Saccharomyces cerevisiae S288C: one gene and its partner. The gene in region 1 interacts genetically with each later gene. Each region holds a gene or a part of one and is shown on either strand. Other genes may lie near its edges.

The links.
Region 2: mutations in ARO3 (region 1) and PIR5 together harm fitness more than expected from each alone (negative genetic interaction), as found in Saccharomyces cerevisiae (2 studies listed by BioGRID).

The regions. Positions count from the first base shown.
Region 1 is NC_001136.10:515,976-523,994, forward strand, and holds ARO3 (3-deoxy-7-phosphoheptulonate synthase ARO3), read left to right. Parts: upstream 1-5,840; coding exon 5,841-6,953; downstream 6,954-8,019. Other genes in the region: YDR034C-C (gag protein), read right to left, coding at 2,065-3,381; YDR034C-A (uncharacterized protein), read right to left, coding at 4,541-4,717; cysteine-rich palmitoylated domain-containing protein CPP3, read left to right, coding at 5,339-5,494; mitochondrial 37S ribosomal protein mS47 EHD3, read right to left, coding at 7,236-8,019. UniProt on the Saccharomyces cerevisiae protein: Stereospecific condensation of phosphoenolpyruvate (PEP) and D-erythrose-4-phosphate (E4P) giving rise to 3-deoxy-D-arabino-heptulosonate-7-phosphate (DAHP).
Region 2 is NC_001142.9:113,043-120,364, reverse strand, and holds PIR5 (beta-1,3-glucan linked protein), read left to right. Parts: upstream 1-1,539; coding exon 1,540-2,403; downstream 2,404-7,322. Other genes in the region: FMP33 (Fmp33p), read right to left, coding at 2,578-3,120; JJJ2 (Jjj2p), read left to right, coding at 4,736-6,487; YJL163C (uncharacterized protein), read left to right, coding at 7,032-7,322.

The DNA of each region.
Region 1 (8,019 bases):
TTAGGAGTCGCATGGTCAGAAGATCGATATTCTGGCGGATCCGTATCAATGGAGGGTGTATTATCGCATGCAGCCTTTGTTTCTATGGAGATGATGGGAGTAGTGGATTCACTGTTGGACGAACGGTCATCTATTGAGGGCGTACTATTTGTAGTCCTGTATTTGATATTTGTATCACTATTTCGTTGAATATATGGTTCCTCCGTACCACCCAAACGTGTAGTTTTGATGTTTTCAAGTCCATAATTAACTCTATCCTGTGAGGTCAAATCAATCATATCATTGGGACTACCAGGTCGCTTTTGGTTTCGTGCAGTGAAGGTAGACGAGTGTCTAGGTGAAGTAGTATCTGATTCAATGGTACCACCCATTTCGGTACTCTCTTTATTAATGATATGGGGTGTACGAGATCGTATAGTAGATGGAAGAATATTGTATTCAGATATGTCGGCATCAACTTCTTTTGGTGCACGTACTTTTTGGACTGGTTCCTTGTCTAATTGTAAAGGGTTTATTGATTGGGACGAGAAGTCGTTCACTAGAGGATCAGAGTTTATTTCAATCTCCGATTGATAGTCATGATCAGATTCTGTATTTTGATCATATGACTGCTCTGTTTCATTTTTTTCAATAAAAGATTGGTTATGGGCTGTTAAACGATTGAGATCATCATCAAAGGTGAGTGTATCATAATTGAATTGGTCCAATTTGGATTGCTTGTCTTGTAATATAACGTAATTGGTAGTATCTACTGTCTTTTTTAATGATGGAAGATAGATAATATAGCCATAAGAGTTTCGTGACGGATGTAAGGCGTAACCTGGAATGCCACGAGGATGTATTTTCGAGTCGGGATTATGGTTGTTAACTATAACCGGTTGACCGAAAGGTAGTATAGTAGTAATGTCCAGTCCAGCTAAACCTGCATGTTGTCTTGCAGATTTATCGTTTTTTGGTGAGACTAATGAATTTCTGATTATAGTAGAAAATTCGACTGCTGAGAACCATAGATGATTTGGTAGACCACTGCAATGAAGCAGTGTGCGACAATCGTTTAATAAAGTACGATTTAATCGTTCAGCGACACCGTGTGCTCTAGAATCTGCCGTGGTTGTATAGCATGCAGTAATACCTCTGTTCGTAAAGAACTTATGAAGAGTTTTGTTAGTGTACTCGGAGCCACGATCCATCTGGATAACTAGAACGCGAGCATTGAATTGGTTCTTAATAAATGCTAATATCGATGTAAAAACATTGAGGATAGATTCTTCACGACGGTCGTGTAATGGGTACACCCATTGGAATCTGGTTTTCTCATCTGTAAACGATATAAAGTAAGAAGGTGCACTTTTCGGTAAGTGATGTACAGGACCAAATATATCGGTATGCAAGTACTGAAAAGGCTCATATGATTCTTGGTACTTTAGTCGTGATCCTTTGACATGTCTATGTTTCGTGCTTTTGCCGATTAGACAGTCAGGACATTGATATGTGCTAGCGTTAGACCATTCAATATCCGATTCCTTCAAATATGTAACTGCATTCTTCTTAAGAGACTTCTGAATACTTCGGAAGTTAGCATGTCCAAGCATTCGATGTATTAACGGATATGGATATTTATTTACGCTTTTGCTTTTGTTGACGTTGTTTATTGTTAGCTTTGAAATGTGCGAAGGAATTAGGTATTTTTTAGATAACCAGTAAAAGTCTCCATGTTTGACTATGGGAGCTAGTACTGTACCATCCGATCTTTCTAAAGTGTTTCTGGTAAAGCAGGCAGTAATATTTTGATTAGCCAGCTCACTCAAACTTAATAGATCATAGGCTATGTTTGGTGTGTGTAGTGCTTTTATTGATGTTTTGGTGCCGTTCTGAAAGTTGAAGTGAAGATTACCAATGGCATTTATAGGAATGTCTTGTTTTTGAGCATCGACTATGTTTATTTCAGAATTGGGTGTTGCATGGTGTAAATAATGGGCTGATCTGACAAGCGTTTGCGAAGCTCCTGAATCAATAAGAAGGTGATCAGGTAGTTCGTCATTCGAGTCTATTGTGTGTGTTGGCTTAGATTCTTTCTGTTGCTGGCCTAAGACTAAGTTCGTTGTCATCGCTTAAGTATTGTGATGAAACGGTTGATTCATTAATGTGATCATTGTTCACCCTTGAGAATTTACTAGATGTAGCAATATTGTGAGCTTTTGCTGCTCTTGGTTTTGAACTATTTGTTCTCTGATAATTACGAGTTGTAACCTTTGTGTTAGTCGTGTTTGGAGATGTGCGAGAAACATTTTTGTATTCGCTGTGTTGTTTGTATTGGGACGGTTTATTTAGATTCATGATTTTATTTTCGTCATATATTAATTGAATTTCAGCGAATAATTGGGAAAGTTTCATGTTCGTTTTGGTACGATATTGATTACGTAGGTATTTGAAGTCACCGGATAGACCTTTAAGTATTAGTTGACAGGCCAATCTGTCGCTAACATTGATATTGTTTTCTTTTAGCCTCTGAATGATCGTACTGACTGTAATTTCAAATGTATCAGCAGATGTACTTCCGTCGTACTCAAGGTTGGCAAGAGCTATCCAATCCTTTAATTCTTGATTGTTAGTTTGCATTTTGGACACACTTTTACAAAGGACTGTAAGGATGTCAGCATAATTAATTTCTAAAATTTGTTTTACCCATGTTGGCAATAAATGAAATGGGGCAAATGCTTGGAAGGTATTGTATATATACGCATGTTCTTCATAAGTCATTTGTCTTTTGATTTCACCCTGGTCATTTGGAATGATGTCACCGAGATTAGAGTTCTTCAAAAATCTGATGTAAAATTTAACCCATGTAGAAAAGTTTTCTTCTGATGTTAAAGTGTGTGGTGGTAAGACGTTATTTCCCACCTTTGTCTTAGCTTGAGGTATTTCAGAGTGTTGATTTTTTAAATCGATTGGATCAGGTGAGGAAGTACTCAGTGGTGGGATATACTGTGGCAACGGATAGTGTGGGTCCGGTTGATAATACGCAGGTGACGTTTGATAATGTGAACACGTCATCATAGATGGTTGTTGGTAATGTGCCCAGTTAGAGGCCATAGCTTTGTTTGGGGTCATCATGCCGTGCTGTTGGTACTGTCCATTCTGTGGAGGTGGTACTGAAGCAGGTTGAGGAGAGACATGATGATGGTTCTCTGGAACAGCTGATGTCCCAGGTGTTGTCTCTTGTTGAGAATTAACCTTAGTGGAATCTCTATCAAATTCCGGTAAATTGGAAGCTGAAACGGCTAACGGATCTTGATTTGATGGGACTTCCTTAGAAGTAACCGAAGCATAGGCGCTACCATGAAGATTGGGTGAATTTTGAGATAATTGTTGGGATTCCATTTTTAATAAGGCAATAATATTAGGTATGTAGATATACTAGAAGTTCTCCTCCAGGATTTAGGAATCCATAAAAGGGAATCTGCAATTCTACACAATTCTATAAATATTATTATCATCATTTTATATGTTAATATTCATTGATCCTATTACATTATCAATCCTTGCGTTTCAGCTTCCACTAATTTAGATGACTATTTCTCATCATTTGCGTCATCTTCTAACACCGTATATGATAATATACTAGTAACGTAAATACTAGTTAGTAGATGATAGTTGATTTTTATTCCAACAAGAAAAATACAATCTTCGAAAGTCATCCTCCCTTGAATATTCTTTCTTACCTAAACGAATAAGAACAGAATCTGAAAACAGGCAAGTGATTTTACGGAGGGTTGGCCGAGTGGTCTAAGGCGGCAGACTTAAGATCTGTTGGACGGTTGTCCGCGCGAGTTCGAACCTCGCATCCTTCAATAACTTATTTTTTTCCTCAATCTTCGATATTAGACATTTTTTTTTTCCTATGCCTCCCTTTTCCAAGTAATGTTTTTTTTTTTTTTTTTTTTTTTAGCTCCTCTCACAAAAGTACTGAGGACTGAAATGTAAAAACTAATAACACAATAGAAATAATCATATGATGATATAGAAAAGAAGAGAGGAGACAATCATAATATTATACGAACTCATGGCTTTCCTTATGGGAAATTCTACATTCTCGATAGTGACCCTGGTATATTCAATATACTTAGGAATAACTGTCTTTCATAACAATGGCGGCCATACGATTACCGTATTATCCACCTATTCTTGATATTAAACTGGAAATTCTGTGAATTTTGTGATAATTGTTGGAATTCCATTGTTAATAAAGGCTATAATATTAGGTATACAGGGTTTACTAGAAGTTCTCATCGAGGATTTAGGAATCCTCAAAATGGAATCTATATTTCTACATGCTAATGTTACGATTATTCCTCATTTCGTTTTATATGTTTCATTATCCTATTACATTATCAATCCTTGCATTTCAGCTTCCTCTAACTTCGAAGCTTTCCATAACTTCTGTCATCATCTAATACCGTATATGATAATATATTGATAGTATGACCACTAGTTGATACACTGTTGGAATAAAAACCAACTATCATCTACTAACTAGTATTTATGTTACTAGTATATTATCATATACGGTGTTAGAAGATGACACAAATGATGAGAAATAGTCATCTAAATTAGTGGAAACTGAAACGCAAGGATTGATAATGTAATAGGATAATGAAACATATAAAACTGAATGAGGAATGATCGTAATATTAGCATGTAGAAATATAGATTCCATTATGGGGATTCCTATATCCTGGAGGAGAACTTCTAGTATATCTACATACCTAATATTATTGCCTTATTAAAAATGGAATCCCAACAATTACATCAGAATCCGCACAATTATCATAGATGATAATGGATTTTTATTCCAACAATCAGCATGCCTTTTGTATTTCTGTAAAGAAGAGTAAACCATAACCTAAGTCAATATCAAATTTAGGATTGATGAATTTTCTACTCAAAATGCTTTGTTCAAGAAGGTACGAAAGAAGGTTCCAATCGTCCATTTTAGGGTCCTATAGTGTAGTGGTTATCACTTTCGGTTTTGATCCGGACAACCCCGGTTCGAATCCGGGTAGGACCTTTTCTATTTTTTAACCCTCTTGTTTTATTTTTCTTTCTTGGCTTTGAATTGCACAGCCCCTCGCATTTTTTTTCGATACCCTGAAAAAAGGAAAAAGGCGAAGAAATAAGGGCAATTTCTATTTAAAAATTATACAAGCTCGATTTTTCATTTTCTCCTTCCCCTCTCGCCCCTCCCAGTTTTCAACTGTATTTAAATGTTTCTCAGTTATGTTGTGAATTAAAATAATCCTAATTGTCAACTAAAAAAGTCTAAGTTAGCAATACCAAAATGAGGCATCATCAAAATATGCATTATGCCCCACAACAACAACCAGTCTATGTCCAACAGCCTCCTCCTCGGAGAGAATCCGGTGGTTGCTGTAGAACCTGTTGTCACTTCCTATGTTGTCTATGTTTAATTAACCTATGTTGTGACGTTTTTTAATTCTAATCGACAGCTAAAAATTAGTATGGAAAGAACATCATATTTAGCCGCTGAAAAAAAAGAAGCAGCTGCGTATCTTCTCAAATTTATGCGTACATAGTGACATATATTTAAAAGCTTCCTCACTTTCCTTTTTTATATTTTTTCATTGCTCAAGTATTAGTCACATCGGAAAGTATGCTTGCTGCATTAAATACATGCATGTGTTTATAAGTGTTTGCATTTTCTCTCTCTTCTTTTTTTTCTTCCTGTTACTTGTATACGAACGACATATTTATTTTCACTATTTCTCATTTATATTTATAGCTACTACCCCTATTACGTTACAAGAACACTTTATAGCATTATGTTCATTAAAAACGATCACGCCGGTGACAGGAAACGCTTGGAAGACTGGAGAATCAAAGGTTATGATCCATTAACCCCTCCAGATCTGCTTCAACATGAATTTCCAATTTCAGCCAAAGGTGAGGAAAACATTATCAAGGCAAGAGACTCCGTCTGTGATATTTTGAATGGTAAAGATGATCGTTTAGTTATCGTGATCGGGCCATGTTCCCTACATGACCCCAAAGCCGCTTACGATTACGCTGACAGATTGGCTAAAATTTCAGAAAAGTTGTCAAAAGACTTATTGATTATTATGAGAGCGTATTTAGAAAAACCAAGGACTACTGTTGGCTGGAAAGGGTTGATTAACGACCCTGATATGAATAACTCTTTTCAAATCAATAAAGGTCTACGGATTTCGAGAGAAATGTTCATAAAACTGGTTGAAAAATTACCCATTGCTGGTGAGATGTTGGATACCATTTCTCCGCAGTTTTTGAGTGATTGTTTCTCCTTGGGTGCCATCGGCGCCAGAACTACTGAATCCCAACTGCACAGAGAATTAGCATCCGGTCTATCTTTCCCTATTGGATTTAAGAACGGTACTGATGGTGGTTTGCAAGTCGCCATCGACGCTATGAGAGCCGCTGCACATGAACATTACTTCCTTTCTGTCACAAAGCCAGGTGTCACTGCTATCGTGGGCACTGAAGGTAACAAGGATACCTTCCTGATCTTGAGAGGTGGTAAGAACGGTACTAACTTTGACAAAGAAAGTGTTCAAAATACTAAGAAACAGTTAGAAAAGGCCGGTTTGACTGATGATTCCCAGAAAAGAATTATGATCGATTGTTCCCACGGCAACAGTAATAAAGATTTCAAGAACCAACCAAAGGTTGCCAAATGTATTTATGACCAGCTGACGGAGGGTGAGAATAGTCTCTGTGGTGTTATGATTGAGTCCAACATAAATGAAGGTAGACAAGATATTCCCAAAGAAGGTGGCAGAGAGGGATTGAAGTATGGTTGTTCTGTTACGGATGCTTGTATTGGCTGGGAGTCCACCGAACAGGTATTGGAGCTATTGGCAGAAGGTGTTAGAAACAGAAGAAAGGCCTTGAAAAAATAGCCTGTAAATGAGGGAAAAATGCAAATAATCTTGAATGATACTCAAAACTTTTGATTTATTGTAATTTCTTTCTGAACCATATTTATTACATTCAAACTTTTTTTTTTTTGCCTTTTATAAAAAAAAATACTTATAAGAAAAGAGAAAGAAAATGACAGTTTTCTATGTATCATTAAATAAACATCCATATACAAATATAGCGTTATGTTTTACTTTTATTATTTACATGCATAGAAGTGTTGGCAAAATTCTTTACGAGCCACGGGGCTGCTATTTCAGGTTTTATTTCCATCTTAAGCCATCGTTAACTTCTTCACATTTTCTTTCACAAACAATTTTACATAGCGATTGGATACCCAGTTTCCCTCTTCTAGAAGGAATCACATTGGCAAAGTGATTTAGTACTTCTCTTTCGGTAACTTTGGCGCCAGTGTCATCATTCGTTCTCTTTTCAATATACGCAGCGATTTCCTGTTCTGTAGGCAATTGGTATTTAGAATGGTAGGGATATTGAGTCCAAGTAACATTCGAGGTATTTCTTAGTAATGACATTGGTAGCGATGGTTTAGGAGATGTGATAGATGTCAACTGAGATACAAATAACTGTTCCTTCTTTGTCCATGGATACGGGACCCTTTGTTTATCAATAAGTTTATGCTTTGTGGCTTCAGAGAATTCCACCAAAGAGTCCTGGTTCATGCACATGTTAGCTGCTGTGTATAAGTCTCTTTTGATAGCAGATTCTATGTGATCTCTGGAATTCTCTTGCACCAATCTCAAGGCGATTTGAAGAGAGGATGGTGACTTGGTTAACAATTTCGTTTTGATTTCTTGTGCGAAAGCCTTACCTTCCGCAGAACCTTCATATTGACGTAAGTTATTCATTATGTCTTCAATAGTACCATTTTTAGACAAGTTAAAACAGGCTTCAATAACGTTTAATTTCTCGTTAGAATACTTGAAAACATAATCTTTTGGTAATGGTGATACGAATTCGTCGATGGATTCGTTAACCATCCCGAAGAAGTATGCAGATTGTGGATCGTTATTAAAAGGGGGGCTAATT
Region 2 (7,322 bases), on another chromosome or scaffold:
ACATAATCGAAATTGATTGTCGTTAGACTTCAAGTGTTCCTTTTATATCTCGAGGATTCCTACCATTCAAGCTAATAAATTTTTCACCAACCATTCCTTTTTTAGGATCTTTCTTATTTTGACCAAAATCTAAATTTAGCTCAAAATGTGGTGTTCCGCTTGAGAAAACACTCATTTGTACTATTAGTTTTCCTGATCTGGTAAAGAAATGAAAAATTAGGCTGAGTTGGCGACTTATCACTACAGACGGAAAGCCATTAATGAGCTTTTTTGTCTTTAATAATTTCCGAAATAGGAAATAGTAAGATCACTTAATATGAATAACTCCCAAGAATTACCATTTACGGCCCCTTCCAATAGAGGTGGGAAATGTGTATGTGCATTGTGAGGGTCGCCTAATTGGGCAGAAGGGGGGAGAAATGAGCGTGGCAAAGCAGTGAGATTGACTCGTTTTGCGGCCAGCAACGTGTTGGACATGGCGGACCTGCCTGCATTAATTATAGCACAAAGCCTATCATTCATCGCATCCTTGTGCAAGTTCTAAGTTCACCTCCATATGGATTAGCGGCCAGGATAATGGAAAAAATTTACCATACTTTTTTTTGCAGAATAGATCAACAGTTTGGTGCATTTGTTCCTTCTTGTTTTTTTTTTGCTTGTTTTTACAATTTTTACTGTTTTACTATGAACTGATGGCTGGTATAGTGACAGAGTTTCTACTTTTTTGCTACTTAGTAGACTACTATACTAACTAGGACATATGTTGTTCGTAACGGTAAATGCACTTAAAGTATTTTACTGTTTTTAATTGGATTTGCTTGTTGTAGTAATTTTTGGACTGATTTCGGTCAATCGCTATTTTAATTTTTACTGTTCCTTGCATCTTTTACTAATCCGAAATTAGCTCAGCTCAAATTTGTAGTTTACTAAAGTACGCTTTTCCTAAAAGACGAAAACACAAATATAGTGAAGACATTATCCGACTTTTTTGCCAAAAAGGGACAAAGCACGAAATTAAGTAAAACTGTGGTAAAAACTACAGAGGAACGTCGCATTGGCTAGCAAGGATCTATTGTTACTCTATCAAAACCCCTTTGCCAAGCTCACATATCCTATTTGCCGTTCCTGAAGGCATCCAACTAGGCTTGATATCATCTTACTTATATAGTGGGCTTCTGCTCCTTAACCTGATCAATTTCACCTCTAATTTTGTAGGATTCCTGAGAAAATACAGAAATTCTAACGTTCCTCTGATATATTACGAGTGAATCATTGGGTATATATAAGAGAAGTGGAGTAACAAAAGCTGTAGAAAGTAAGTTACACAGAGTCACAAAAGAATATCGACTTTTTGTGCAAGAAAATTCGACTGTTTTGACTCACAAAATTATTCTTTTTGCGAAAGAGTGGGGAAACGAAAACAGTTAAAAGAGTAAAATAACTTGTATACATATACTTATCTTCTTGTTTCGAAATTTCTGTTTAGTCTCGATTTTTTAATTCTATACAACTTACTGAAGAAGTGAACACCGCCCCAATATGCATTACAAGAAAGCATTTCTAGCATCTCTATTAAGTAGTATTGCGCTAACTGCGTACGCTCCACCTGAACCCTGGGCAACTTTAACTCCAAGCTCTAAAATGGATGGTGGCACAACAGAGTACCGGACCTCATTCGGTCTCGCTGTTATACCTTTCACCGTTACTGAAAGTAAGGTCAAAAGAAACGTCATTTCACAAATTAATGACGGTCAAGTGCAAGTAACGACACAAAAATTACCTCATCCAGTTTCGCAAATTGGAGACGGCCAAATACAAGTTACAACGCAGAAGGTGCCTCCAGTAGTGTCACATATTGTGTCACAAATAGGCGATGGTCAATTACAAATAACTACAGCTAAAAATGTTGTCACAAAGTCCACAATTGCTGTTCCAAGTAAAACTGTAACTGCGACAGCAACTTCAACCGCAACTGCTGTTTCTCAGATTCATGATGGTCAAGTGCAAGTTACTATTTCTTCAGCCAGTAGTAGTTCTGTGCTTTCCAAGAGTAAGTTAGAGCCAACAAAGAAACCAAATAATGAAAAAGTGATCAAGGTGCAAGCCTGTAAAAGTTCTGGCACCTTGGCAATAACGTTACAAGGAGGTGTTCTTATTGACTCCAGTGGTAGAATTGGATCGATAGTAGCAAACAGACAGTTCCAATTTGATGGTCCACCTCCACAGGCGGGCGCTATTTACGCTGGCGGCTGGTCGATAACGAAGCATGGCACTTTAGCTATTGGTGATAATGACGTGTTTTACCAATGTCTGTCGGGCACTTTCTATAACCTTTACGATCAGTCTATCGGGGGCCAGTGCAATCCCGTTCATTTACAAACAGTTGGTCTCGTCGATTGTTGAATCACCAACATTATAATCTTGCAGGTCTTGATTGTACTTCAAAAATATAACTAAAATAATAGTATAAAAGTAAGTCTGTCTTACTATGTATGGGGCGCGTTATAATTTTACGTATTCACAAACGAGTTTTCATTTACTTCATCGTTTTTATTTTCGGAGATGTTGCCTTCTGCATTACTCAAAGCGCACTCCAGCTTTTTCCAGCTGTTTCATCCTAAGTTTAAGTGCCATATAAATCAACGGTGGGAACCCTAAAACACTAACGACACTTCCCTTATAAAGAATGGATTTTTTGCCTAAGGTGGAATTGCCTATTAGGCTCGAAAGTTGAATGAGAAACCCCCAAACAATCGAAAATTGAGAGACATCACTGTACGTCAAAGAATGAAGTACTTTATGGAGGTCACTCTTTTGTAAGTCAAGCTCTTTCTCTTGATAGGTATCAAGTGCTGGCTTGAATATTCTATTGGGAGCGTCATGGACTATATTTACAATGTCGTCTTCTGCGATGGCATGGGGATCTTCTTGCTCTTTGGACTTATTCAAGCTATTTGATTCTAGATATAGGCATGCCAGACCTGTCCCATACAGTGTTGTCACTAAAAGACTAGTGTACAAATTACCCTTCGAAAATAAAGGTTTTGAGCCAAGATTGGGCGATGTGCCTGAAAACTTGGTGAATTGTGAGTTGTGACGTAACAACCTTGTGTATAGCATATGAATGAAAGAACTCTATGATATACTTGATTTATTTACCTTGCATCAAGTTTTCGTTATCCGCACCAACTTAAACTAATTTTATAATATACTTAAAATAGACATTCAGGGGAGTATTCAAAAAATCACGGAGGTTTTTATCAGCACTTTGGAAGGGAGCAAAAGCAGGCAAACTATCTCACCAGAGGTCTGAATGGTGGACTGCGAATATCGGAAGATAGGAAATACAACTTTGTTGATTGGCATTCTTATTTTTAGGCTGATCTATTATATTTAGGCAGTTTATGTTCCTAAAAATACATGTCGATCATCTGCTCCAAGCAAATAAGCTATTTACTATGAAGAAATTTTTAAATTAATGAGGCAGAAGTTACGCATATCAGAAAGACTCTAGATGTTCTCATTGTAAAGAACAGTTTACACTTGGTGATACGGACTAACAGGTATTCATATGGGAAGATATGAAAATTGTGCAAGGAATACGCCGCCAGACTTTATGATAGATTAATGGCATCGGAGTTGCTGCACTGTAATTTTTTAAGCATCGTGGCAGCCCTCGGTTCCATCCTAGCGTTTATAAATATCTAATATAGAGCAAACTCGCAATATTCTGTAAACTATGATTCCAATGGCAGTAGTTATTACCATTTCTAGCGAAAGGATCACTCTAGACGATATAAGTTTAAAATTTGTTGATGTAATTAGAGGTGTAGTCGTCTAGAAGAAGATATGGCATGTAATGTTTTGAATTTACCTCATCTAATAGCAGGAACACAGGTTTTTTGCAGAACAGAGAGGCATTTCTGGTATAGTTAAGATGTGGGAGAGGGACAAAGGCAGATTTGGAGGTGCAAGAAATTTGTCGTGGTTAGCGACTAGCATTGTGTTAAGTTTCGCATTGTATTGATTTTATAAGGGATGTATTGCATTCGGCTAAGGCAACATTTATGGATAACGAAGTGCGGTTGAGTTCTGGTATCGGTTTTGAGAGAGTCTCTGTTGCTGTTAAGATTCCAATTTACATATCTGTCCTGCACAGGTTAGCGCTGCGGCGTTGCACAGGCATGAAACTAGGAAAACGTACTTTGGGCAGATTTGTAAAAAAAATTCTATCAAAACAACTAGTACAGAACAGTTGAGTTTAGAGCCGGTGTCTATTATCATATGGGAAAGATGATCCTCTTGTTAATTTGGTAAGTAGTACTATTAGGTGTTGAATATTAACCGTTTATAATCCGATATAGTGTAACGGCTATCACATCACGCTTTCACCGTGGAGACCGGGGTTCGACTCCCCGTATCGGAGTATTTTTTATGTGATTAGCTAAATAGTTATTTTTTGAAATAGTTTGTAGTAGTTCACCTTTATCCTATTAAAATATAATATCACACGAAAATTATCTGTTTGTCCTCAATTCAGTTGATCATTGTGCTAGATGTTCAATATTGTGAAACTTTTACAATACCGATTCGGTGCGGACATCTTGAAAATACAATACCGTGCGATGCCTTTAAACTTTTTTTGAGGCATGAGCGTAAATAGACCTGGAATGTTCAATATAGACTGTAGCAAAGTGCTTCTTCAGTTTATGCTATTGTACACTGTACTATTCTTATGTCACAGGTAATAGAACCACAATTAGATAGAACAACCTATTATTCCATATTAGGCTTGACATCAAATGCGACTTCCTCCGAAGTACATAAATCATATCTAAAACTGGCCAGATTACTTCACCCAGATAAAACAAAATCTGATAAGTCTGAGGAATTATTCAAAGCTGTGGTGCATGCACATTCAATTTTAACTGATGAAGATCAAAAACTTCGATATGATCGAGATTTGAAAATCAAAGGTTTACACACTTACCAGCCGAAGAAAAACTGTCATATTTTCAAGACCAAGGCAAAGGAATCACAAGGGGCTAGTCCCACACTTGGTCAATCAGAAGCTTATCATAGGCAAAATAAACCTTATGAGCAACAGCCCTACGGTTTCGGTGTAGGCAAAAAAATGACCTCAAGCTCTAAGAGTAAGGTTCCGATATTCAAGTCCTTCAATTTAAAAAGCTACCAACGAAACCACTATTATTCATCCAAAAAGGAAAGGAAACATGGAAGTCCTGATATTGATTCTTTGTTCCATGAAACCAATGGAGCCTCAAAAGTAAGAATGACTGATGCCGGTAAAATGGATACGAACTCTCAGTTCCAAGAAATATGGGAAATATTGGGTAAAAATGCGTACACACATAAATCTTACTCTGAAGATCCAAATTCATGTTTGGGATCAGCACTAAGCGATCATGAAGAAGAAGAAGAAGCAGGAAAACAACAACAGCAACAGCAGCAACAACAGCAACAGCAGCAACATTATGGAATGACGTCGAAGTCTAGCAGTCCTGATGAAGAAAAAAAAAATAATAAAGAACCGAAAAGGGAAAGCAGAGTCTCTCCAGAGGAAAATGGCGAAGAAGAAACGGGACACAAACAATTTAAATTGCCCAAGACCAGTACTTTTTCTAGTGGATCCCATGATTCAAATTTGCAATCTCCTTTTTACAATCATGAGTATCGACATTACGCAAGAAGTAAATTCGAATGCAAGAATCAGTTTAGAAAGTCAGTTTCTCCCATTAAAGAGATACCTGCAACAACTAGTGCCAATGAAGGATGGAACATTTTGAGAGACATTATTGAAAAACTCAATATAAGCAATGTAGACGATCGAAATAAAGACTTGCTGTTTCGTCGGGATGAAATAGGTGATAAAAATCACAGCGACTCAATCGACATAGAAAATTTATCTATCAAAGAACCTAAAGGGATGAAAAGGAGAAAGAAAGATGATATATCTTTAGAAGAATTGTTCCAATCTTTACCAAGAGAAAAAGATTATTTTATGATGGATGCAATTAATGACTCGTTAGAATCAATCAATCTTTTTAAAAAGCCGAAGACCACTCAGAGTCACGAACAAGGTGGAACTTTTGCCCAAGCAGAAAGTAATCGTGCAAAATTCAAACCGTTACTAGAACAGTGTGGAATTACACCCGAGATCTTAGATTTGGAAATACCAGAGATTCCGGAATTTGATGCAGTGGCTGACCTTGAAACATTGAAGCTTAACGTGCAGCTGTTTAATAACCAATGTAACAAACTTAAAGAAACAATACATCAAGTATCATTACAGCGCCTGAGAGCAGATACGCAGTTCAGTGATATGTTAACCCAAAAGCAAAGTATTATGGTTTGGAAAACATACCTAGAATTTGATAAAAGTTTAATGGACAAATTGAACATCTTACAAGAAAGACAGATGCAGGTCATTAAAATTTTTTCCGAAAGATGTGACGGTAAAGTATAATCGAACGCTCTTCTTAATGAGCATATACCCGTCGTCCTTACGCCAGGATGGAAATAATTTGAATGAATAATGTAAAATATATAAAAGTATCTAGTCAGTACATTTCATGTCTCAATTATTAATATCTTAAATATATATTTAGTTATGGAAATTCAATAAACTACTGAAATAAATAGAAAATTCTTACAGAAAATGGTAAAAGTAAAAAAAAATTACCAAAGGGTGCACTTGGCAATTTAAAAGTACTTATAAACTGGTTTGGCTTCCAAGTGAATGAAAGTGCTATGGGATTATCATCAGGTAAGTACAGTGTATCTTACTAACATTGGCCGAGCGTTTATTGTTGTTCCGTGGAAGTTTATCATGATTTCCCGCCCTTAATCGAAATCAAAAAAAAAAAAAATAAAGGGTAAGGGATTCCTAAAAACCAACAAGATGAAGGGCTGATCTGCAAGAAGTCTAATAGACTTATAAGGAATACAAACCCTAGTTCTTGCATTTCACGTATACATCTTCAAACCGTGCGAAGCAAAGGCGCAGAACAATGTCAAACGAGGATGAAACAACTCGTTTAATGTCTTCAGATGAGATGGACTATTTATTGGAAACGGCTGGGATCAACGCCTTGGAAGAAATCATTAGTCAAAATGACAGTACTGGAATAAATTTGGATACTAATGAAACAGCTCAGGACAGTAGCTATGACTCTATCCGGCGCTCCCCCAGTATTTTGAGTGTTGCCAAAAGCGTTGAGGGAGAGCATGGACGTAGAAAACTATTATGCCTTTACGGCCTTGTTATGATTATCTGTATTGCGGAGTCTATTTCTATGACT